Rhinolophus ferrumequinum: one gene and its partner. The protein of the gene in region 1 interacts with the protein of each later gene in a biochemical or structural test. Links are inferred from orthologs where the notes say so. Each region holds a gene or a part of one and is shown on either strand. Other genes may lie near its edges. The genes, in order: PDZD2 and CTNND2.

The links.
Region 2: the proteins of PDZD2 (region 1) and CTNND2 form a complex in vitro, tested with the Homo sapiens proteins (2 studies listed by BioGRID and IntAct, with this or other methods). The link is inferred for Rhinolophus ferrumequinum from reciprocal best matches to the Homo sapiens genes PDZD2 and CTNND2.

Annotation. Positions count from the first base shown.
Region 1 is NC_046290.1:20,810,205-20,822,636, reverse strand, and holds the start of PDZD2 (PDZ domain-containing protein 2), read right to left. Parts: upstream 5,025-12,432; 5' UTR 4,762-5,024; intron 1-4,761.
Region 2 is NC_046290.1:7,809,661-7,822,137, forward strand, and holds the start of CTNND2 (catenin delta-2), read right to left. Parts: upstream 4,969-12,477; 5' UTR 4,736-4,968; coding exon 4,699-4,735; intron 1-4,698. UniProt on the Homo sapiens protein: Has a critical role in neuronal development, particularly in the formation and/or maintenance of dendritic spines and synapses. Involved in the regulation of Wnt signaling.

The DNA of each region.
Region 1 (12,432 bases):
AGAACTGCAAAACCCATGGGAAATATATGCTTCCCAATTCCATCTTTTTTTCACTTCTAGACTATGGCTATGATAAGATCAAGAATTTAAATATTTTAAGTGCCATGACAAGATCTATCATTTTATATGCAACTTATGCCTAAACCCAAAGGACAACATAATCTAGACGTAGACCACTCAGTTGGAAAATAAATCAAGAATAATTTGAGAACATATTTTTATACCTCTCTTTTGTTAAAAACAAAACAAAAAACAAAACATTCTACACATTTTCCCTCAAAATCATTTAATTTGGCCCACATCTATTGAGTGCTTACTAAATCAAGCTAAGTGCACCTTTTGCTCCTGTCTTCACTAATAGTTAAGAATATTTATTTAATCTCCCTAAGTTTAATCACAGACCCGTTAATAAAACCAATGGGATACACAGATTTTTAATTTTTCCTCACCCACCTGCATCTTGTATAATCGCCATAAAAAGACAACAGATCCCCAGATCAAGCAACTGTAGATTGCGCTTTTAGTTCCAGTTGTACTGGAATGAGTCAAGTTCTCTGCTTTTCTGGACCTCAGCTTCCTCAAGTGCAGGAATTAGCAAATGTGAATGCATCACACCCCTCCAAAGCACAGCGGAGAGGGGAAACTAGGCAGGATCTCTTAGCTGTGAGCCCTGACAACTTGACCTTTGAATAAGAGAGAGAAGTGAAATGCAGATGTATCCACTGAAACAAGCCAACAGATAAAAAGGCAGACATCCTGAAAGATTCCTTAAAGGGGAACAGGGAGGTGAGACTGCTCTGAGCAGTCCAGAGCTCTTCATCTAAAGCTGAAAGAAAGCTTCAGCCGTGTCCACTAAAAAGTCCTGCCTCTGGGCTCTCACTGCCTTTGGCAAGAGGCTTATTCATTTCTCAGCACACTATGAGAAGCACCCACTACGTACCAGACACTGTCATGAAGGGGTTTGCATACACACCTCAGCATCTCCTTTTTATTCCTCCTAAGGACAACTCTGTGAGGTAACTGTTATACCAATTTTGTATATGAGGAAACTGAGGCTCCAAAACTTTGAATGATCTGGCCAATAAGAAGTTTTCTGCACGGCTAGGATTGCAGCCCAAGTCTCTGACCCTAATTCTGGAATCCTTCCTTTTCCTCCTGGTTGCCTCAGCGGGAGCCAGGTGCCAGGTTCACCTCCCCAGGCTGGCAGCAGCATTTCCACCTTCCCCACAAAACCCCCAGCCTCATGCAGTGCCCTCCGAATCTCAGTGGGCACCCCTCCTGTTTACCAAGACCCATTCTTCCCTGCATTGCAGGCTCCCTCCAGCGCCTCACCCAACCTCTGCTTTCCTCCTATCTTCCAGCAAAGGCAGATGCCAGCTTTTCTTCTCCTGCACCTGTTGTGGCCTCTTCCCTCCCAAATTCTCCTTATCTTGTCTCTCCTACTTTTTCCACTTCTCTTTTGTTTACCACACATGCCTGGGAGGGGGATTTGAGGAACTCTCCTGAATAAACCTTCCTACAATGCTACCATCTCCTCCAACTGCTCTCTGATTATTTTTAATTGGCACGCTTCTGGATCCAGTGTCTACACCCCCCACTCGCACTGTCTTGGCACCACTCTCTCCTTCATCCCTTGTAACCGGCTTCCACGACCATCCTTTGCAGACAAGGCTCTCAGTTTCCGTCAGTGGCATTTTCCCATCATCCTCTTGGGAGGCTGGCCCTTCTCGGAAATGACTGCCAGCACCTGGTCACCTGTCTCCCCGCCTAGCATTCTCCTTGGTCCTGTGGATACACCTGAGGGCAGGAAACACTTGAGGGCAGAAGAGGTTAAAGTCTCTCAAGTCTTCACATCTGCCCTATTAAAGAGATTCAGCCTCTTTGAGTTTGGCCCTGACCTTTTGTTGATTTGTCTTCTTTGGAATGCTTCCCCATGTGGTTGGTGTAGTAAGAGGAACCTGGGGGCCTCTCCCAACAGAGACAACCCCCTTCCCACCATGGGCTGAGTCACTTAGGCCCACGTGATCCAGGCCAAGGGAGCACCCACAGCTCTGTGTTATCTTGTCCAGCCCACCAGGCCTGGAACTTCTAAGTCAGGGTTGGGACAACACCCTAGAGTACAATGAACCAGGAAGGTGGTGTGAGTGTGTGTGTGAGTGTGTGTGTGTTGGGGGACACAGCAGGAAAGAAGTTTGAGGAGGCACAAAGGATTTGGAATTTATCCCACAGGAGGTCCCTGGGGACCACTGATAGGTCTTACAAGGAGAAGCAGTCCTTAGACCTTGATGACTGATTAGATATGATTACACATGGGAGGAGTGAGAAGTCTGAGAGGCTTTCTCTAGGTTTCTCGTTTACTGAATGTTAAAACTCCAAGCTCCCTATTTCAGTTAACTGTGTCTTCACACGCCTAACCTGCAGGTGGTCTTTGTTTCTTCTTCACTCCAAATCCAAACAGTGCCCATACTTCAAGTTCATTCTTTTCTTCCTAGCCGACTGCCACCCACCAGCTCAGACCTCCATCCTCCAGTTTATTACAATAACCTTCTCAGTAGGCTCCTCAACTCTCATCTCTCCCAAATCCCAATTCTTTCTGCAAGAGATCAGATTAATCTCCCTAAAGCACATAGCTGATCGTGACAGTCCCTTGCTCAAAAATTTCAAATAGTTCCCTGCCATCTGCAGAACTAAGTTCCTCCAAGTTCTTAGCCTCTTCTCCCATCACCCACCCAAGGGCCACATCCCACCTTAGGATCACCTTGCAGCACGCACCTGTCCTACCAAGGTTCTCCTTCACAAGCCTTTCCTATCCCCTCGTTCCAAAATGATTCTTTCTCCCGCTACTCCTAAAATGTTTTATTGGGACTATCTTTAGTCGCTTTATTCACTCATTCATCCTTCATTCCTTTGATCACCCCTTCATTCCTTCATCCACTGAACATAGGGTGCTTATTAGGCACACAGGCACTGGTTTTGATCGGAGTTCTCAGTATACTTACCTCCCCTCTCCTAATAGTTGAAACTCTGACAGCAGGCAGGGAGCCTCCAGTATCTATGTGTGTCCCCAGGAACCTCTAAGGCCCTGTGCACAGCCAACTACAGGTACTCCAAAAATAAATTGGTTGAAATGAATAAAGAAATTATCATAAGTTTCCTTAAATAGTAAACTGCCTTAAGTGCATGCAAACTCAATTTCAATGATAGAGATTTAAAGTATAATTCAGTATTTTCCCTGGAGCATATTAACTATGACAAGGCAGGTGCATCCGATACACTTCACAAGGTTCTGACTCTCCCTCTTCCAGCACCTGCCCTCACTTACTACCTCTTCCCCTTACTCCTACATCTCCCCCTCTCCCTCCATCATACACACACTCACACCACCGTGTTGTTATGGGTGGAGCAGCAGTTCTTGGCTCATTCTAATGGAAGAAGGAATTGATGAAGCTAGAACAACCACCTACAGCCAAAAGTGTGTTCTGAGACATTCTACGTGTTCTGGCCCCACACTTCCGTACCTGTACCAACTTGACTCCCCACCCAAAATCATAGACCAGAAAAGCTGGCCCTGTAGAAACACCAGGGCCCTAGAGCCCAAGTCCAAGGCAGACTGAGTGTGGGAAACCCCACTGAGGAAGGACCAGCAGCACTGAAAGTCCAGGGGGGCTCTTTGTAAAGGAAGATCCAGAGTACCACTTTCGCAGCCATTCAGTGACTACCTGCAGCAGCTCCATCATTATCCCTCAAGGCACCCTACCTCTGTGGGAGGCAAGCGGTCGGCCAGCTGCAAGAGACAGATGCCAGTCGTTCCTGCCCCCAACACCCCACCTCCAGTCCCAGTGCAGGTCTGCAGTTCTGGAATGCCCTCGTGCCTGCCATTCCAGTCAGTCTCTGAGACCAGTCCCTGCCAGACCTTGTCCTCTTCACACTCCAGTGTCCCCTTATCAAGGTCTCTGCACAGATCAGGACTGCTGCTGAGGACAGACTTCTGGAAAACTCCAGCCACGGGCCCCGGACCCTCCCCTTACTTAATTCAGCATTGTGAGAAGACAAGCAGCCCAAAGACCTAAAATGTCAATGCAAACCAGGGAGGGAGAGCGGAGAGGGCGGGGAAGAGAGACGGAGGGGAGGGGAGGGGAGGAGAAGAGAGGAGAGGAGAGAAAGCGAGCCACGTTTTGGGAGGAACTCCACTTAAGAGGGAGAGCAAGATTTCCCCATCGGCACGTTCTCCATCTCCCTGGCAGATGCCAGTAGCCGCCCCCAAAGATGCCCTTGCTCTTTTCGTGCCCCCTCCACTCCCTTGCCCGGCACGTCTCTTCTCCAGGCAGGGGAGGGCGAGGGATGAGGAAGCGCGGGAGATGGATCCCAAGGCAGTACCTGAAGACGGCGCACCTGAGTGCCTCCGCCCTGGAGGAGAAGACAAGGCGATGGCCCAGGGATGGGGAGCCGGGGCGCAGGGGCTCCTGGCCCTATCCTAAGTGTGCCCTGCAGTGCGTCTCGGTTTGTCCCGGTGTCTCGGACCGGCTCTGCCCGGCCCTCGTCCCGCGGCCGCGTCCTCCCCGCCCCCGGCAGGATACGAGGGGAGTTTGCGCCGCGAAACGTGGGACACAGCTTCGGCACCCCCAATCACCGCGTTGTCGCGGCTGGGATTCCCGCACCCGGATTTGTCAGTAAACTTTCCCCGGCGCACGCGGTCTCGGAGGTCCCACCCCACCCCCATCCGAATCCCCACATCCTGGCTGCAGCCGACGATCGTTTCACCTGCGCGCGGCTGGTCGGAGGCTCCTGCTGCTTCGTGCGCGTTCGGACCCAGGCGCCGCCCGGCGAGACCCGGCGCCGCTGCTGCTGCCGCCGGTGCCGCCGCCGCGCCTGCTCGGAGCTGCAGCGCAGTGGTGCTCCCGCAGCCGCAGGAGGCGCAATCCCGGGTGCCCGAGCCCAGCGAGCCCCCGCAGTCGCCACCACACCGCGTCTCCCTGCCCGGGCCCGGGACGCACCGACGCTGGGAGTCCGCTCCTGGATCGGCTCTCCCAGCTGTGCTGTGCTGAGGATCCTCGGAGCCTCCAGGATGGGCGGGGATTCCCTCCCACTGGTAGATTCGAGGGGCGGGAACTCCCTTCCTGGAGTGACAGGGACAGGGGGCGGGGATTCCCCTGCAGGAATGACAAGGTGGGCGGGGATTCCCCCCCAGAACAAGGCACACCGCGCGGGCTGAGCGTCCCTCGGGATAAACCCCAAGTCCTAGTGCGCTGGCTTCATAAACCTTGGGAGTACCTTGGGAGGAAAGGATCCAGTGAAATGGCAGTTCAGAATTTCCAGATGGCGGAGTTTTGGGCGCCATCTAGATGGAGGAGAGCGAGCTAGGGGACTTGAAGTTGCCTTTGCAGTAGCACTTTACGAAGCATCGAGAAAAATGTCAATTGCTTTATAAGAATGGGGCGGAGGTCAAAGGAGATGGGGAAGGTCTAACCATCCACTCTAAGCCACTCTTGGCCTCTGGTCCTTGGGATACCAAAGTATGTTTAACACTGGTATGAGAATTTCGGGGTTCCCTCTTGGCACCTCAGAGCTGCTTAATCCCCCGGTTAAGGCCCTGGGAGAAATCTTCAGAGACCAAGTTTCCTGGCCCTAGGGTGGTGGTTTTGGTCCTTGTGAGAACTAGCCAAGAACCTCTGCTGGGTGGATTGTGATAACTAATGCCAATCGCCTTTGGCCTTGTTCCAGGTCAGTCAAGGAACAGAAACCTCAGGCTTTTCGGGTCCTTCATTCCCGTGGATTTTCAGGAAGGCCTTCAAATATTTTTGTTCTTTTTTCCTGTCATCCTTGTCATTCTGCCTACCACAGGGAGAGGATGATAAGAACATAATAGGAAGACTGCACAGCTCTGCAAATTAAGCTCTCTTAAGAGGAAAAAGCTGGTCTTTTTCAAGTGCTAGCAGATAAGAGTAAAAACATATGAAAAATTACAAAACCTGGGATAATGAATAGTTGAATAATGCTTTTGACATTTTCTGCAGAGCAATAATTGGAAATCTTTGCTTTGGGGGGATGGGGTGGGGCAAGGATCTGCTACAGCTTTGCCCAGCAAGGCAATAGCTCCGATCTCTTTCTTGGAAGAGCAGAGAGGCATAAATCACCTGCACAGACTCTGCAGAGCCGACCCACAGCATCAGAGGCCATGCTGGTCCCAAGGCATTTCGAGATGGCATTTTCAGCAGAGGTCGGGGTGGGAAAGTACATGAATTCAGCTGTCCTTCAGCTTTTATAATTACCGGGCCCATGGGATCAGTGTATGCACCAAGCATGTATTGCAAGCTGTGCCATCTCAGGCACCCAGAGCTTCTCTTCCTATCTGTAAATACCTACCATGCAGGATTGATGTAAGGATGAGCAGTAGCATAGTGACTCAGCACAGCACTCAGGAGGTACTCAATGAAATGGCACTTTTACCTAAAAAGGTATCACTGGGACACCACAAAAGATCCTTCTAGAATCAAACAGGACTAGTGGTTTCTGTTTTTTCACAGTCCCAGTCCCATCCTCCACCGCTCTCCCAAACACATGAGCCATGAAGAGCAGTGCAGGTCTCTTCAGCCTCTGTACCCAGCACCCACCTCCTTCAGCACACACTGAGAGTTTGCTGAATAAATGGATATGTGAATAAATTGATCACTCAAACCATAAAGCACTGCTATTTCTTACCCAACTCATCCTCAACCCTCTATTCCAGCGATGTACTCCTCCCCTGTAAATTCTGTTCCCTCTGCCAGCAGGGCATTCTCACCCTCCTGTGTCTGCTGAAATTCCAGAGTCCGATGTCACCTTTTCTGGGAAGATAGCTCTGATCACTGGCACCAACATCAGCTATCTTCTTTCCCATTAATTGTTACAACAGTAGCACTTTACACAAGTTGCTACCCCTTGTCAAGTTGTATTAGGTTGTAGGCATCAGTGCTCCCTCTCACACATTTCCAGCTTGTGAGCTCCTGGAGGTAATAGAACCTAGATATTATTATCTGTGTTCCCAAAACTTAACATGGTAACCCATTAGCCACTCAAGAAATATTTGCTGAATTAAAATGAATTGTTAAATATATAGATACATATATGTTATATATGTATAAATATTATATGTGTGTGTGTGTGTGTGTGTGTGTGTGTGTATGTACTGGGGGTGCCAAAATCATGTATACAAGTGGACACTTTGGTCAACGTTGCTCAAGCAGTAGTTCGCCATAATCAGAAGTGTCTGGACACTGATGGTAACCACTTTGAGCACCTCTTGTAATTGCAGAAGCCAAACGTAACTTGTATTCATCTTTTGTTATTGGCATATATTGGGTATTACAATTTTAACCGTTTTTTCCTTTCTTAAAATGTGTATACATATTTTTGGCACCCTCTGTATATTATTTTCTCTTCTGTCTTCTTTGGACATGGCTGTGCTTTAAAGTACTTCTAATTTCAATCACTTCTCATCTGATATTTTCCAGATAGTTTTTGGCAAGTTCTGGCCTGCTAATAATAGCTCACCTCTCAAGGGGTCAATCAAATGTATGGAAATTTTGTTTTGCCCTTGCAGTCTTGCCAATTTGGAAAGCTCACAACTAAGGGCATTCATGTTCCAGTGTTTGAAGATCAAAATGTAAATTCTTTCTGCCCCCTTGTTAAATATTTAGTCACAGGTTAGTACTTTTATCCAAGTTTCCATTTTAATTTATTGCTCATAAATACATGATATGGACAAAGATATTGGATATAGACAATTTAAGGCTTAGTTAGGGACAATAGAAGATTAAAATAATGAACTAAGAAAAAACATGTATTATCCTGGGTGACACTATGTCAGTGATGGATAAATGAATGCAGCATACTTATTATGTGAGCCTTGGACTCATGCACTGCTGTTTACCTGTGAGCTTTCCCCATCTATGGAGAAGAATCTATCCACAAGGCAGCTGGAACTAAATTGGAAGTTTCATGGCCAACTCAAATGAAATCTTAAAGATTGCTTTCCATCTTTTCTGTTCAGCTGCTCTTTCAAATATGTTGAGGGTGGGGGTCGGGTGTGGGTGGGGGAGACGCTTTAGTCAACAACTGGCTCAATTCCCTTTCTCCTCCCGGGATCTGTGCCTTCATTTAATCTCCAAAACAGATGCTGGCTTCCTGTTTATCCAGCTAATTACTCTCCTTTCTTTCTTCTGCGCATTCCTGGCCGCGAAAACTTCCATTCATGAACTCATATTGGAATGAGCCATCCCCTGGCCAAAGAAGGGCTTAAAAAGAACGAATAAGGAACAGTGACAGTAAAACATTAGTTTGGTGGATCCTAACCCCACACGTGTTTAAGGATCCCCAGGAGATTTGGAAATGCAGATTCCCTGGCCCTCCCCCTGGTGGGCATCAGAGCTAGTCTGTCTCTGGGCTCTGATACTGCATTTTTCACCAGCAATCCATTGATTGTGACTTGGGTGGCCCACAGAGCATATCTGTAGAAACACAGAAATAGAGTGACTTTTAAAATGAGAGGGAGCCCAGTTATATCACACTCTGGTATTTGGTGATAGTGGTGATAGATTTTATTTTAAACCTTGATGAAAATTTTGTAACATTTATTCTGTCTCAGACCAAATCTTTTTATTAGCTAATACATGTAATGGACTTACACTTAATATATCCTGTTTTAAAATACTTGCTTAGGGGAAAGGTTTAAGTACTTTTCATCTTATGTATATTGAAAATGATGATTTTTCAGTGTATCCATGAGCATGACATTGGAATTTATGCAAATGTGTTGTGTTGATGTCAGTGTTGTATAATATTACCACACATGCAGAACTTATGGTTTTCTCCTGGAGGTGGGGAGTTCCCCCATACAGAATATACAATCTCTCCTATTTTTCTAGGTGACTAAAACATTCATTATTTTATATCTTTGACTTAGCCTTCTTTTTATATTATGAAAGCATTGGTTTCCAGGCTAATTTTTTATATAATTTTTGCAAGAAAGAATGAATTATAACTAGCAAGTGCAGACCAAATATTGCTTACTTTCACAATTTATGTGATGATTCAATAATTCTGTCCGGTGCTGAATTACCTAACCTGCTTAAGATGCCAGAAAAAGGCTACTAAAGAAAGAAAGAGCGGTTCAGCTTTGATTAGCATAACCAGTACTTTGCAATCAGCATATCTAAAGGGAAGCTATTTTAGTTCCGAATGCACATAGGTGCTGTTTTATAGTTGGCCAGTCATTGTCCTTATTTTGAATTTACACAAGAGACAGGACATGAGGGTCTTCTTGGGGCTTAGAACTCTTATCACACTGGCAAAGTTGTCAAAGATATTTCCCCTCTAGAAGGTGGGAAGCTGGTGTCCTCCCCAATTCCCTGTTCCCACCTTGTTGCAATTCAGTCCAATCATCGTGCTTCTAAATTTGGAGACTATTTTGGTAAGAAACTTCCTAACTCCTCATTTTGTGCACAACACATTCTCATTCCTAACTCCTATCTCCCCTGCTGACTATTCTCCTTGTTCTGTTCTGCTCTGTTTACTTATGAAAAGGCATCGTTCTAAGTCAATCATGGGCTATTTTTACTCCTTCATCAGATACTTCTACTTCCAGATCTCTTCATTTAATAATCTCAAAAAAAGCAATTATAAAAATAAACCTATTGCTGGTCTATCTCTAGTGCTTTCTTTGTTTTATTTTTCTAACTTTACATCTTCACTCCTCGTCTCTTGCTAAGCTTAGCACCTGTCTTTATGGGTATAGCTAAAATGGACACAGAAATAAAACTCAGGTAATGATACCCAGCCTAAAAAAACAACAAAGAGCCAGCGCTGTGTTCTGTGGCCAATCACAGTTAACACAATAAAGGGTGGAGCAACCTCAGACAAGCTTCTCTAAAATGGGGATAATAACACCTGCCTCTAAAGGTCTCATTAGGACCTTGAGTCCCCGGTAAGATCACAGATGTGAAAGTACTTTGAAAAAATTTAAAAGTCTCTTCAAATGAAAGGAGAGGAACGCAATAGCTCTTTGAACAGTGATTTCAGGTTGTCATAGAATGTACATGAATAAGATGATTTACACTTCATCTCAGTGTACAGCAAGAATCACCAAGGGTGTTTGATAGGGAAATTGATAAATCATCATTAACAACTGATTTGCATGACGGTTGAATTTGTGGGCCAAACATCACAAGTGTATTTTTCATCTCTGTTGTGTTCAAGAACTAGAGTAGGTCAGTGAAGTCCACAGAAAGTAGAATCTGTGAAGAAATGACACGGTGGACATGAAAAGCCAGTTTGGTTCAAAACACATTTTCTTTTGGAAAATATGTAAAAACATCACATTTTTGTTTGGTATTAGCAAATGCTAGTAGCAACCTCCTTCTCTCTAATTGATCATTGGAGTGGATTCCTCGTAAGGCTGCTTCTTGAAAAAAATCCCCAAGGATCATGCTCTTTGTTAGCCTTTATTTAAGTTGTGGGGTTCTTCTCAGTTCTGGTTAATAGAACACTATTCAAGAATATTTAAATGCCCATTTTTTCTATTTCTTAATTTTTTTTTCCTGAATCCAGGGAAAGGAATCATCTTTTCTGCTTTATTGTGTACTTATCAACAAAGGAAATAACCGAAATTGTTTATAAATAATTTGCTTTTATAACTTAGACATTCAGACCACCTGAGAATGAAGGCCAACACAAGTTGACAAGATCTCAGAGTTCTAGAGCCAAAGGAGACTCCTTAGGAATCAATGTGCCCACTTGGTTAGGTGACTCCCCCAGAAGTGTTTCTGGAGGGGAGGCAGAATATACTTTGGAAAACAGTAGAGAAAGATCCTGTAGGATCAGCTGGCCTCTCTTTCTGCCCATAATTTTGGAAATGCTAATTCTATCTATTGCATAATACATAATGCCTGGTTTTCCCAATCAAGACGCTGTATCTCAGGACTATGGGCTCTGGGTTAGAAAGACTGACTTCAAAGACTAAGGGAATCTATGTTACCTTGTCATTGAAGGATGTGCACATATCTGTCTCACGCCAGAGTAGAAGAAATATTCAACGAAGGCAGCAGACTTATAAATTAATTCTGTATGATCAATCCCAAATGCTCCTAAAAGAATGATGTTTTTCTTATTAAAGTCTTTTGAGATGCGTAGCATCAGTCAGAATGTCGTGGGGCTTATCAATATTGTATCTCCAGCATGAATCTGCAAGACAGTGCTTTTAGAGATCAAAAAAGTTCACAGATTTGCCATATTGTAGAGCATTGTATAGCAGAGTTTCCCAAAGTTTGCTTCTCTCTGTGTGCATATGTTTTCTAACAAGTACGAACAATCTACTCCAAATCTGAATTTTTTTCCCCCTGAAACTGTTCATTGTAAGCCTTTCTCTAAAATCATCGCGAATGGTCCCCGAGATACCACTTCATATCAGAGTTTGCTGCTGGGCCAGAACCAAGGTGAGGTAAGAGAGGTGCCTAAGGTACAAAATGTCAAGTTTGGGCTCTTACTCGCAGGGCTGTGTGCTCATTCAGGGTTGAACCTAACCCTGAGAGTGAGGACCTTCCTAATTTTGTGCACTAAACACTACTCTTGCTTCATCCTAATCCTGGCCTTGGTTCTCTGACAGAACACACAGAATGCAGAGTATACTTGAAAAGTTTGCACACTGATACATCAGGAGGAAGTGTAGCAATACTGATTAATAGCACAACCGTTGAAGGCCAGTCTAGGCTTTGCCAGTGATCACAGGGGTGACCTGGGGCGAGCTGGGCTCGGACAACCACACCCCATGATGCACTCCCTGCTCTGACCCCCACCTCATGGATGACGACACACATACTTCTATGCACAACTGTCAATACTTCACAGACAATTAGCAGAGACAGGCCTGGCACTACTACATCCTCTTTCTATTTCTTACACCTCAACTGAATTCTGGTAGGCTTGTCTTCAGCAGCTTCTAAGAGACACTGGAGACGTAAGTGATAATACCATCTTCACTTTTCCATTGGTCTATCCTCACTGTAAGCCCTTTTGGTTATTTGCCATTTGCTGTGCTCTCAGACCCATAAGTTTCCACTCCAGTCAGTTTCTTCTTCCACACCACCCCACACGCCACCCGTGAACCAGCATCCCCATTTCCTCAACCTTTTCTCTAAACATTCCTTCCTTCTGACTGTCATCCTCCTCTGAAGACATAGCTCCCCTTGCACCTCTCTCAAGTGGAGTTCATTTGGTCACAACAAACATTAACTGACAACTCCAGGTCAGGAATGGTGTGCAGGTCGCCATGTTTTTATTTTATGGCCTATCATTTCCATCGCTTTCGTATCTAAACTGCCTTGTGCCTTGGTTGTACCTATCTGGAAAACTCTAATCCATGGTGAAACTGGCCCTTCCCCGAGCCAATATCTGTCAGTT
Region 2 (12,477 bases), about 13 Mb from region 1:
GGCTGAGAGCCTGGACACTGCACTCCTGGCTCTGTCTCCACAATATCCATATACACATACACACGCAAAAAAAAACCAGGGGTGCCAAAAATGCATACAAGCGGACACTTTTGTCAAAGTTGCTCAAGCAGTAGTTCACCATAATCAGAAGTGTATGGACATTGATAGTAACCACTTTGAGCACCTCTTGTAATTGCAGAAGTCAAATGTGACTTGTATTCATCTTTTGTTATTGGTATATATTGAGTATTATAATTTTAATACAGCTATCCTTTCTTAAAATGTGTATACATTTTTTTTCATCCTCTGTGTGTATGTATGTGTGTGTGTGTGTGTGTGTGTGTATTCTCATATATTAATTTATTCATTGTAGGGCAAAAATCAACTTTTTCTCTAGAAATATATTTGTGATCTGAAATGACAATTGTGGGGACAGAGCCGGGAGTGCAGTTTCCAGGGCAGTTTCTCGCCCTCAAGTGGAAAGGTGCTGGCTCAGGTAGTAAATGGCCATCAACTGTGATTGGATGGCCATCAGCTGTGGCTAACTGGCCGTCAGCTGTAACCAGTGAGCCATTGGCCACTAATATAACTGCCGTGGCTACGCTAATAGCAAAATGGGGGCTAGCAAGAAGATGGTGGCTGAGCTAGCAAGAGCGGATTGCAGTTAGCAGGGCGGATTGCAGCTAGCAAGTGAGGTTGGGTGGCAGAGACAAGTGGACGGCAGCTTGCGGATAGTGTGGCTCCTGCTTCCTGTGTCTCCAACCCAGCCACCAGCGCCAGGGAGAATACAGTGGTCTGACTCCCCTATCAATGGCTCCGTGGGTGTTCCTTTTTGGCCTCACCATGTCCTGCGTTCTTATGTGGGGAGCAGGAGCTGAGACCCTGCATGAGTCCCTGAGTGACAACAACTAATGGAATAAGTTTCAATATACATAATTCCTTTTACAGATAACTTTTCAGGAGTCTCACCAAAGGATACAGGTGACTATTTGTCTAAGATGGAAAGCTTCTGGGAAGCATTGTTTCACTTATTTAGCCATTATTCCCAATTTGTCAAAAACTAATTGATACAGAGTATAACTTCAATATTCTAATACAGCTAAGACATTTCCTACAAATCAATTAACCATGATATGGAGCTTGAAATTACACTTAGCTGCTATGTGATCAAAAGATAAACAACTGGAGGTGTCATAACTGCACATTTTTGTTATGAGTCTTAACATTTTTCATGGACTAAAGGCACAGTATGATAAAATACTTCCGTGAGTTTCCTGTGTTGGAGGTACTGTTTCTGAATATAATTGGATTCATTAAACCCAACCAGGCAGTTTATTTAATCAGTAGTCTAGATTGGCAGACAATGTGATAGAAACTATTTATCTATGACATGTTTAATATTTTACATTAATATAAAAAGCTGTTGCTTTGGCATAAAATCAGATAAACTTGAAGCCAGCAACAAGTATCATGAACTATTCACACTCAAATTAATTTTTCACCCACATCCACATAACACTTATCACAAAGCCATCAAAGAACTGTGGCCCTGAGGACACCTCTGGAATATGGATAATGAAAACCATTATGGAAACCAACTGAGGAATTTGGAATTGAAAGTGTATTTCTGACTTGTAAATCAGCCAGCAAAGACCCATGGTACCAAATCTTCCACAGAAGAACTGAATTTTAAAATATCTGCCCGTTTTCTTTTGGTATTTGTCCACCCTCTGAATTGCGGTCCTCAAGTTTAAGTACTCTGAACTAGGTGGCATCTTTTCAAAATGAAAATCTTATTGAAACTTTTAGGAAAAGCGATACTAACCGAACATCGACAATTTCCCACTAAAGAAGTGAAAACAACATTCACACAGAGAAGCCACCATAAAGGGGTGTTCCTAGCTCCTGTTGATAATCATGAGAAAAAGAAAAAAGAACTTGAAGCAACAGTTCCTATTTTAGTTCAATTGTCTTGTTACAACCAGATATATTGGCCCATACAAAGTATACCAGACTTCATGGACAAATTACAACAAATTATTTCAAATGTAACTTTGATGTTTTCTTACATAAGGACAACCTGATGAAAACTCTGATGAGATTACTCTGGAGAACTTCACCAATTCCACATCAATGCACACCATATAAAAGAGAACTTTGGTAATAAGTAATAGGTTCCGTAACATTGTCAGGAAGAGCACTGCATATTCAATTATATGTCAAAAGTAATGTTGTATCTGAGAATTGTATAACTTCATTTTGAATTTTAAAGATCATTATGAAAGTGATACCATCCTTAGAAATTATTTAAGAAAACCATAAATTGCATTTTCCGACTAGTATCACTTGAATTTCATTTTCTCTCTCTGATGAACCATTTTACTGGGAGAAAGAATTGCCCTGTATTCTATTGTGAAAGATGTGAAATTGATGGAAATGCTGTAATTTGACAGTGCATGACTTTTATTACAATGAAAATATTAGTGATATCTAGAGTGATTAGGTTACACAACTAGGTAAACATACACCAAATTAAATGACCCCTTCCACAAGACTGACAATTTCATTAGAGCCACAACCTCATGTACTTATTAAAATTGCCATTCAATCAGGTGCTATCATTTTCAGTCCACAGCATGACATAAAATTCACATATACAGTACATGTAGTTTTTCCCGTGCCTCTCAGCTGCTCTCCACCTGCACTCATAGGCACAGAACAATATCTAGTAGCCCTTTCAGAATCATGTTTAAAACCGAAACAGCACACGCAAAAGGAAAAGTGGAAAGAGAAATGAACATCTACTTCACATGTTGCTTGTTTTCCAAAGAAATTTTACATTAAAACAACGCAATAAGCATGATAGTGGGTTCAAAGTGCTCTTGGAAAGTTCTCTGAATGAGAATAAGGTGAAACAAAAGCAATACAGGTAGAACTCATCCCACTCTTCAGTTAGCTGGAGCTGCAGAAACCCTCCTGGTCTTTCTGCAATGCTGAGACTTGTTAGCTGTATAATTACAGGCCCCCAAATTTCAACATCTGACTCCAAATGTCCTCTTCCTTCAAGCCCAGAGATCTGGAAACGCGCAGACCAATAAGGATGCCGCTGAACATTTTTCCCCAAAACAGTGCAAATGGATTCTGCATGTAGTAAAGCGGTTTTAAAGCAGTTTAAAGACTCTAGTTCAGATTTGAGGCTGCCCGCCCGTCTCTGTCATACTCCTCACAGACCGAGCCCCCAGAATCATGCGGTTTCATCCCTGTAATTTGATATGAGTCATATCAAAGACTTCATGGGATTTTATTAGAAGTGGTACATTTATTTATTAGAAGTGGTACAGCTCCAAGCCTTTCAATCTGGTAGGTGAATTACTAACAGCAAAAAGATGAACTGAACTCCCATGAGCAGCCTAAGCTACTGATGTGGGGGCACACGATGAGGTGACTCAGGGGGTTTCAGCACCTCCCTGTTTCAATGGAAGTCCTTGCAGAAAATTCCCAGCGTTTTAAATCTGTCACATAGTTGCTAAAAGTGAAAATCTATACCTGTCAGGCCAAATACCATGGTTACGATGTATCCCTTTTCTAAACCAACATATTCACTTGATGACATTAGGCATGCATGTTAACACCTTTCAGGGCCAAAGCACATCCGATCAATTCAACTGAAGCACACAAGGTGGGGGGAACCACCCTGGAACCACAACCTGCCCCCCTTTTTCTCTTTTTTTCCACACCCTTCACTGCCCTCACATTGACAGCGAACCACAACTTTAGGCGTTTTGGAAGTAACTGTTCTTTGTGGGACACACACACACACACACACACACACCTCAACAATCCCTAGGACTGTTTTCCTACCACACAGACCAGGAAGGCTGCACCACCTCTCTAACGACTTAATTCGGAACGTAGTGGCTCCAATCAGCTGAGTAGGAATCGATGGAAACACATTACACACCAGAAGAAGAGGAAGGTCGGCAAAAAAGCAAAGCAGCTTTCCTTTCGGCCATTAATTAGCGATCATCCGAACATCGCATCGCATCTCCCGTCCAGATTCACAGCTTTCCAAACCTGGAATTCAGGAGGCGCTTCCCAGAGCCTCGCAGTCTATTGTCAGGACGCAGAAGCCCCCGATACCTGTGAATTGAGCTGAAAATGCTTGCTCGGAAACCGCTAAATATAGACCAAAGGGGCTCAGGGTCTGGCAAGCAGCGGGAGCCTGAAGCAATGGCCATGGACGCATATGACTAAGTATTTCCATTTTGTTCTAGCCAAACATCGTAATGACATTGAACATAAGGGCAAAAGACTGGAGGGAAGTCCTCCCCACCCCCACCCCGTCTTCTCCTGTATATGAAGGGGCGTCATAAACGCAACGAGTATGTTCTTGAGGGTGGCGGGGAGCAGTATTGTTGGTGTTGCCCTATATACGCCTCCTCCGGGGGTGACGGGTGGCGGGGAGGGGGAGCACGCCGAGAAGCCACTTGGTAACCGCTCCAAGAAAGGTACTAACCCCGGCCCGCATTCGGTCAGACCGTCTTCCGAGAGGAGAGTGGGCGCGATCGCGGTCCTCCCCGGGCTGGCTGGACCTTGCAGCAGGCGCCGCCGCCAGCCGGCTGGCAGCCGAGGACCAACCCCCACCGGCGGCGAGGAGGAGGATGCGCCCGGCCCCGACAGCCAGCGCAGGCAACTTACCGAACGGCGCGGCGCCCGATTGCTTCCTCGCGAACATGCACCCGCCACCAGCGACAGCTCCTCGGTCCGGGAAAAGGCGTGCGCGCCGCCGCCCGGCTTCAGGGCAAGGTCCTGACCTTGCCCAAGTGCGGCATCTTCCGCTTTTGTTGTCTGAGCGCGGCCGCGGGACAAGTGATGCTGGCGGGGCGCAGGGGCGAGCGCCGCGGGGGAGAGGCGGCTCCCGACGCGAGAGCGCGGCGCCCGGCCCGGCGGCCCCTCCGATCGCGGCGAGCGCAGCGCCCCCTGCTCGGCTCCGCGGGCTCCGCGGACTCGGGGCTCCTCCGGGCTCCTCCCGGCTCCGCCGCCTCGCCCGCCGCTCCGCTCGGCCGCCTGCCGCCGCGGGCGCGAGCCTGGGGCCGCCGCGGCGCCCGGCGCCGAGCGCTCCCGAGCTGCGCCCCGCGCGCGGCCCGCGCCACCTGTGCCGCTGCCGAGGGCGAAGCTCCTCCCGCGGCGTGCGGCAGCCTCAGCCTCCACCTAAGCCTCGGCGGCCGGCTCGGGCGCCCGGCGAGTGAGGAAGCGTCCGCCCCGCCGCCCAAAGCTGCCCTGGGCGCCGAGCATGCCCAGTGCCGCCGCGAGAGCGCGGCGCCTCGCCGTGCGCATTCCACTTCTCCTGGTTTTCGCGGCAGCAGCAGCAGCAGCAGCAGCAGCAGCAGGAGAGAGGGGAGGAGGCTGCGGGTTGGGAGAGGGCCGAGCATCCTTGGGAACGCACACCCTGGCCCTGAGATGGGTGGATGCTCGGGAGCCAGGAGAGAGCTGGAAGAGACCGAGGAAGGCCTGGAACCCCGCGTTGAGCGGTTCTCAAAAGGCCGGTTCCCTCATTCACGTGCATGATGCAGACAGTTAATTGTGGTGGGGCAGCTGTCAGCCTGCAAACAAAGGGGCCAGGGCCGAGGGGGTTCTAGAATGGCTTCTGTGTGCGTCGGGGCCAAGGAGGGGGCAGGCTAACTGTGCATGCTGCTAGGGGGAGGTGGATGTTCTCGAGTCCTGTGGTTCTAGAGCAAAGAAGGTAGGGCATCCATCCGTGGGCTTCCCCACAGCGCACGTCCAATTTCACAGTCACCTCCAGTGCTTAGATCAAACATGTTTTTCGAGGATGGACAGACTTTCCCCTTAAGCAAATTCCCTCTGGTTTTGAATCTGGAATGGATGTAAATTTCCTGCAAGAAAGACCCTTGTCCGGTCTGGAACTGGAATACACTGCAATAATAAGTTCCCCTCCTCCTTGTTCTTCCTCTTTCTTTCTTCTTCTGCTCCTCTGCCACCACCTTCTCTTTCTCCTCCGCTTTCCCCTCTCCCAGGCTAAAATGGCAACTGTTACCTGTTCCTCCCCTGTAGCCGTCTTATCCAGCCTGCAGATTTTGTTTTTCTATCACCCCATGGTCTGACAGCTCATCGACTCCATCGGGACGACTCTATGCCTCTCTTGCTGTGAAATACAACGAGTAGAATCACTGTAGTGAACGGTGGATGTCTTGTTACAAAACAAGACCCATGCCATGAAACATTTCTGGGCCTTGATTCATATATGTACCTGTTTCGGAAGTCATGGTGGGGCTCACCCCTCCTGCATTTACAAGACATGGGCAGGCTGAGCGCGCCACCCCTCCCCAGAGCTGGTTTCTGAGACCCAGATAGGCGTGACAGAATCCGGGAAGTTATAATCACTGGGATTTGGGGGCTGAGAGTCAGCACTAAAGTGCTTCTCTTGTGTCAGAAAACATTATCCAACAAAGTCAAACGACTTGAGTATTTGTCCAGAGCTATTCTTTATTATACTTCGGAGTAAGTTAAAATAAACTTCGAAGAAAGAACAAAGGAGAAAAGTTTTAGGTTAGATGGGTAGAAATAAAAGCAAGGAACTGCGGGTTATGCAAGGACTTTGACAGCCGTGCAAATGCTCAGTCTTTTCTCCTCCCCCAGCCTAGCTCCAAGTTTGAAGCTGATTCCATATTGAGGAAGGACACTGCAGGACCATTTTTTTTTCCAGCACATGTTGAACTATACTTTTTATTTTAGTTGTCAGAAAAGCAGTTCAATTACTGTGGAGTACTTGGTACAAGACCAATTAGCAGCACTATATCCATTAGGCCACGTCACATTTTAAAGGATTGTCTCTGTTCCTACCTTAGCTGTGCTCAGATTGTTTTTTTACCTGTACTCCTCTTTGCATCTTTTAACTCAAGTCATGGGGACGTGGGGGTAGGGAGAGTTGAGGGGAGGTCAGTTACATTTTGGATTAAATTTTAAATAGGTACATAGATACTATCCACAGAAAATAAATACGTTTTATGCCTATATAGATCTACATTAAGAAATACTTTTCTAAAGTTTTCTTAGAGTTATTTTTGAGATGAGCAATGGCAAACCCTATTTTCTAATTGTAATCCTTGGAAATGCCCCATAGGCAGTCCCTACAGACTCCTTTAGAGGGTGGGTAAGGTGGGTATTTAAGGAAACCAGTGACGCGCTGGACTACTTTGATTTAATTTGCTGTGTGCCTGATTTCAGTGGGACATTTGTGATGCCTATTCTTCTAAAATAATTTGTAACTTAAGATACTATTATTAAATGCACAATTAGATAATATTGAAAAACACAGTTAAAAGACCATGTGTGGCATTAGCTCTTGGAACGACTCACTGCTGCCATCTTTTGCCTCCTGCTTCTGATAGTTTCTGTATAAGGAAATATTCTGAATTCCCCAGTTCACTAGGAGACCAGAAAAGTAATAGCTTGATATTTTCAAATTTCAGCAACACTAAATGAAGAAACTTTATAGTTTCTTCTGTTTATGTATCAATAGAGTTCTGAGATACAGAAAGCACATCTAACATACTGAGTCTTGTAGCTCTTGTGTTTTCAAATCACTTTTCAAAATCTGAAGCAAATACATTTTTACATGGAAGTTTTATTTAATTTTAGAAATAAATCCTAATAATTAAAAATATTTTCATAAATCCATGTATCATATTTTATAGTTCAAAATATGCCAATTTTAGGAGAGTGACACCCTGGTTTTACCTAATTTAAATATAGCACTGTATCTTACTCTTGAGGTTCAAATGGAAGATCATATTCATGTAATGTTTAAAGTGAATTACCCATTGATAAACAAATGGGAATTTCTCAAGTTGGGAAATTAAAATATATCAGTGGTTCTTGTTGCTGTCCTGCACTTAAACAAGGAAAGTAATCACACTCTTTTAAATTTTACATTTTAAATTTTAAATCAAAGTCTCTCAAATGGTAACTCAGTAGTGTCATAATAACTATAAATGTATATATTTGGGGAGGATTAAACACTGTTACTATTTATAAACTATATGCAGGTGTTACTGGAAAATGTTACTCTCTATTTAAAGACTTTTGAAATAGTAAAATAATTTGAATTAACCATTTTAGTTAAGATCAATGTGTGGGTCATTTCACTATTGGATTCAAAACTTCACACTTTCACACAAACTAGCTTTTACTGTAGCTGCTACTCAAATGATGGTATCGTTCATTTATTTATTCATTCATTCACCAACAAATGCTCATTGAGCTTCTTCTACTGTGGTTCAGACACCAGGCAAAATTTGGAAACTCAATAGTGAGCAATAGACAAGAAGACAAAAATCCCTATTCTCATAAGTAATTATAAGTAATTATAAGTTTAATTATAAACTGAGGTTCTTGGGTGATGGAACAAAAGGGAGTACACCGAAGAGGTCACCACACTCAGTTTCCCTCATTTCTTTCTAACCGTCTATGTGCTGTAGGATGCTGATGATTCTTTTATTTAAGCCCTTCCCTTCCACGTTTTCTTATTGTTTTTGCCTCTTCAAAGTCTTTTGGTGTATGCCAGGACATAGGGAGCATGGGGAAGAAATAGGACCGAAAGTGCTGAAGCAAAGCAAGGAGAGGGATACAGAAAGTGTGTTCGGTAATGGGTGAGGTTCTTGGAGATGCAGTGGAACCAGGAGTGGACTCAATGGAGGAATCAGAGAGTAGTGGGGTGTCTAGTGACGGCCCCCAGCATGAATCAAAAGTCACAATCTGATACTAAAACGTCTAACTTCCCTGTAGGCTGCTCAGGCATAGAGAAGTTGCGGCATCATTGATCAGAATCGGACAGTGGGTCAGAAGTCTCGGTCGCCAGGCGTTGACAAATTACATATACATATAAAGAAGACATCAAATAATGAAGTGGAAAGCTTGGCGCAGAATCTTAATAACTGGCATTGGCTGGAGGAGAAATAAACTCTATGCTCTGATTGATCAGCAGTGCTTATAGATTTAATGGGCTTCTAGAGATGAAGGAACTGATCCCCCAAATTGACTGGCTTGATGTCTACAGACAAGAATAGGAAGGAGCAACTGCATCAGATGAGATCCAAAGACTGAAATAAGAGAGTTTTCATCAAGGTTCATCCAGATTTTCTAGTTAAATTTTAAAGCAGAGTTGATTTAGTATAAAAATTTCATCAAGCAAATTTCAGTTTCTACACCAAACATCTAGGTCCATGGTTCTTAGGGGAAGCATTACTTCCTCCCCAAGAAGTATTTTAGAAATGTGGGAGAAGGTATTTTCTTATGGCCCCTAGGATTTACTGGCCACAAGCCACACGTTCGAAACATTGCGCAGTATATGGGACGATCCCACAGGAGGAATTACCTGTATCCTTCATGACTTTCCAGGGTTCCACCAATCCCATGGGTGTTGAGAACCTATTCACAAGTATTTAAGCACACAACATTACTCCATTTTACATATAAGCAAGAAGCATTTTTGCAGTTTTCATATACATTGAATTTTGCAGGAATGCCACTAAGATATAAACCACGTAAGGATTTAACATTGTTCAGAAATTGACCAAGGTTTTGCTCGTAAGATTAAGAGTAACATCACCAGTGATACACAACCCATCAAAAGAACACAAACCTGGGTCAGTCTGTTTTTATAGCCACAACCTTGGGGTGATGTGACGTATAGGGGAAAGTGTCTGAGAATTTGGTGAGATCATCTCGCCTCGTTGTGACCAAGTGTTTACAGAAAGAAAGACACACTATTTTAAGTGTCTCTCCTCTTATTTCTTCTTTATATTTATGTTGAGATATTGCATAGGTCCTTAAAAATAAGTTAATGTCTGTGAATTTCTTTCCAGGATAGCAAAGTGAGCATTTCATAGTATTTGTTGTAGAAATGGGGCCTTGGGTTCCAACAGGTTTGAGAATGAAATACCTACATTATTCATTAAAAAAATTAATAGCATCTATATTCATGTATATTGTAGCTCCAGGAAGGCAAGCTGTATTCACTAAAGAGTCTAAAAGACCCCACCACTGATCTTTTAGAACCAAGTAGTCTGTAAAAATAATAATTGATTTATCATATATGCAGGCCTCAAAATTGGCCTGCATGCATAGAAAGAATTTAAAAATCAATGTTGATTTTTCCTCAATCTTATAGCCTGAGATTTGGCTTCTTCCCCTAATCCTAAATACTTGTCCATATCACCATCTTATCCTGGTATCTTGCTTTAGAACTTTGATTTGGCCTTTTAGATTCACGTATTCTCTACTTTTTCAGTGCACTGTTCTGATGAAGCCAAAACATTCTATTTAAGCCCAAATCACTGCTGGCTGCCTCCCCATCTTCCTTTTGCACAGAACCCAAATTTTGTTCAGAGCAGCATGTGACCACCTATAAGACCACACTTCCCTGCCTCTCTTGCTGCTACATATTATCAGTCAGTAACACAAACATGAGAGTCTGATGAGTGTTCACAGTGCAGTTTGTGTGAAAGGGGAGCTCCCCATGCTGCTTATTCCTTTTTTTTATAGACTGAATGCAGACTACACGCTGGACTAGGACCTGCCGCATTGCAACTGTGATTGTCAATCAAATGAGAGCCATAGAACAAAGGTGTCTGAGCTTAAGATAGAAGAAGCTCAAGATTCTGAAATTTCCCTGGAACCACTGTGCCAGCTTGGGACTTCTGCTCCCTGAGCTTCTTCTTACGGGAGCAGTATTAACTTTTATGTGGTTAAGTCATAGTAGCTGGTTTCTGTTATGTGCAGCCAAATGTAATCTCTGATATATATGTTCTGTAATTTCTCTCCTCTGCTTTCTACAGCTGTGTCACTTGTCTTTCCTTTGCAATATGTTTTCTATGAATTATTATTATTTTTTTAATTCAATGAAGTGAGTACATGAATATGGCCTGAAATCACATATACTAGAAGATAACTCAGTGACATGAGATTTTTGTACTAACCAGGAAATGAAATCATGTTCAAAGTCTCACAGAATGAGTCCACCCTACATCCCTCTCTGATTTTTAAACTGTTTCCCAAAATGAAGAACTCATTTTTCCATTACTGGTCTCCCTCATGTTTTCTGCCCATTCCAGCGTTATTCTCAAGGTTGTAAACAGTGCCCAATCTGAAATCAATTTTCCCATTAAAATCCTCGAAGCTCCCATTTTATTACGTCTAAAATAAACAACATCTTGTCTCTTATATTGCTGTGAGAATTAAGTGAATGAATCAATTTATGGAAAACAAATGGTACAATGTCTGGCACACAGTGACCAACTAATAAATGATGGCTAATATTAGTGATGGCATTAAAATGCCCCTTTACTTCTGCTGGTTTAGCCCTGCTACCAAAGCACACTCACTTATCAGACTGCACGTATCTTATTGAATCATCAAAACTGAGGCAATGCCACCTTGTCCATGAATACTTTTCATATTCATTTTTTCCTAATAAACATTAACTGAATTTCTTCCATGTGCAGATAATGGTATCTTGCAGACTAATGAGGAAAGTTGACACTGATCTTCATTCTGTAAACTGGTTGTGTTTATTGCTTTCGCTGAATTTTTAGGAATTTAAAAATGTATAGCATCCAGACCAGAAAGTGTCTTCCTTATTTGTTACATTGCATGATGGTATACGTTATCTTTGTCTGCTTTAATTGGTCATTCCATACAATTTATCACTTTAGTTTAACTGTTATAATATTATCAAATAGTTCCCATATTCTCTAAGATTGGGTCTGTATGTGGAGAATATGTGCTAGTTAGATTTTATATTTCTTGCAGTCTGATTCATTTTATTTTATATAGATGTTTCATCCTTGAAGAATTGTCAGGAATAAGAACTTCTTGGTGAAAGTTCCAAATAATTGAACATTAGGTTTGTGTAACTATTTTGTTGAACGTTTGCTTTTGCATATTATTAAAGAAATTCTCATCACAAATAAATTAGAAAATTCAGAAAGTTATGGGAAAAATCATATTCTCATGACCCAGAACTAAAACATTTTGGTTTGTGATCCATAATGTGTATCTTCTCATTCAGTTAAAATTCTACTTCTGTAATTTTCCCATTCCATTAATGTTTATGACTACACATTCCTATTCTAAGGGTAGATCATTCTCAACATAGCCAATTTTCTGTTTATGCATTTTGGTTGTTATTACATGAGTTCTCCAATGATAGTAAAGCTTTAGTTAAGATTGTTTTCTCAAATTGTTTGAAATGATAAACACCTCAGTTGAAAAACAGACCAAACTTCTATTTCCAGGTAAGTTGAAATCACTTGGGGCAGCCCGATGTTTCTACTGAAATTAATTAGAATTCTTGAATAAAAAACAAAAATATTTTTTTGAAGTATTAGAATCTACTGAAGCACAAAAGGACCGGAGGAGCCAAAATCCTACACAGAGGAGAACGTGGAAGTTGAACTG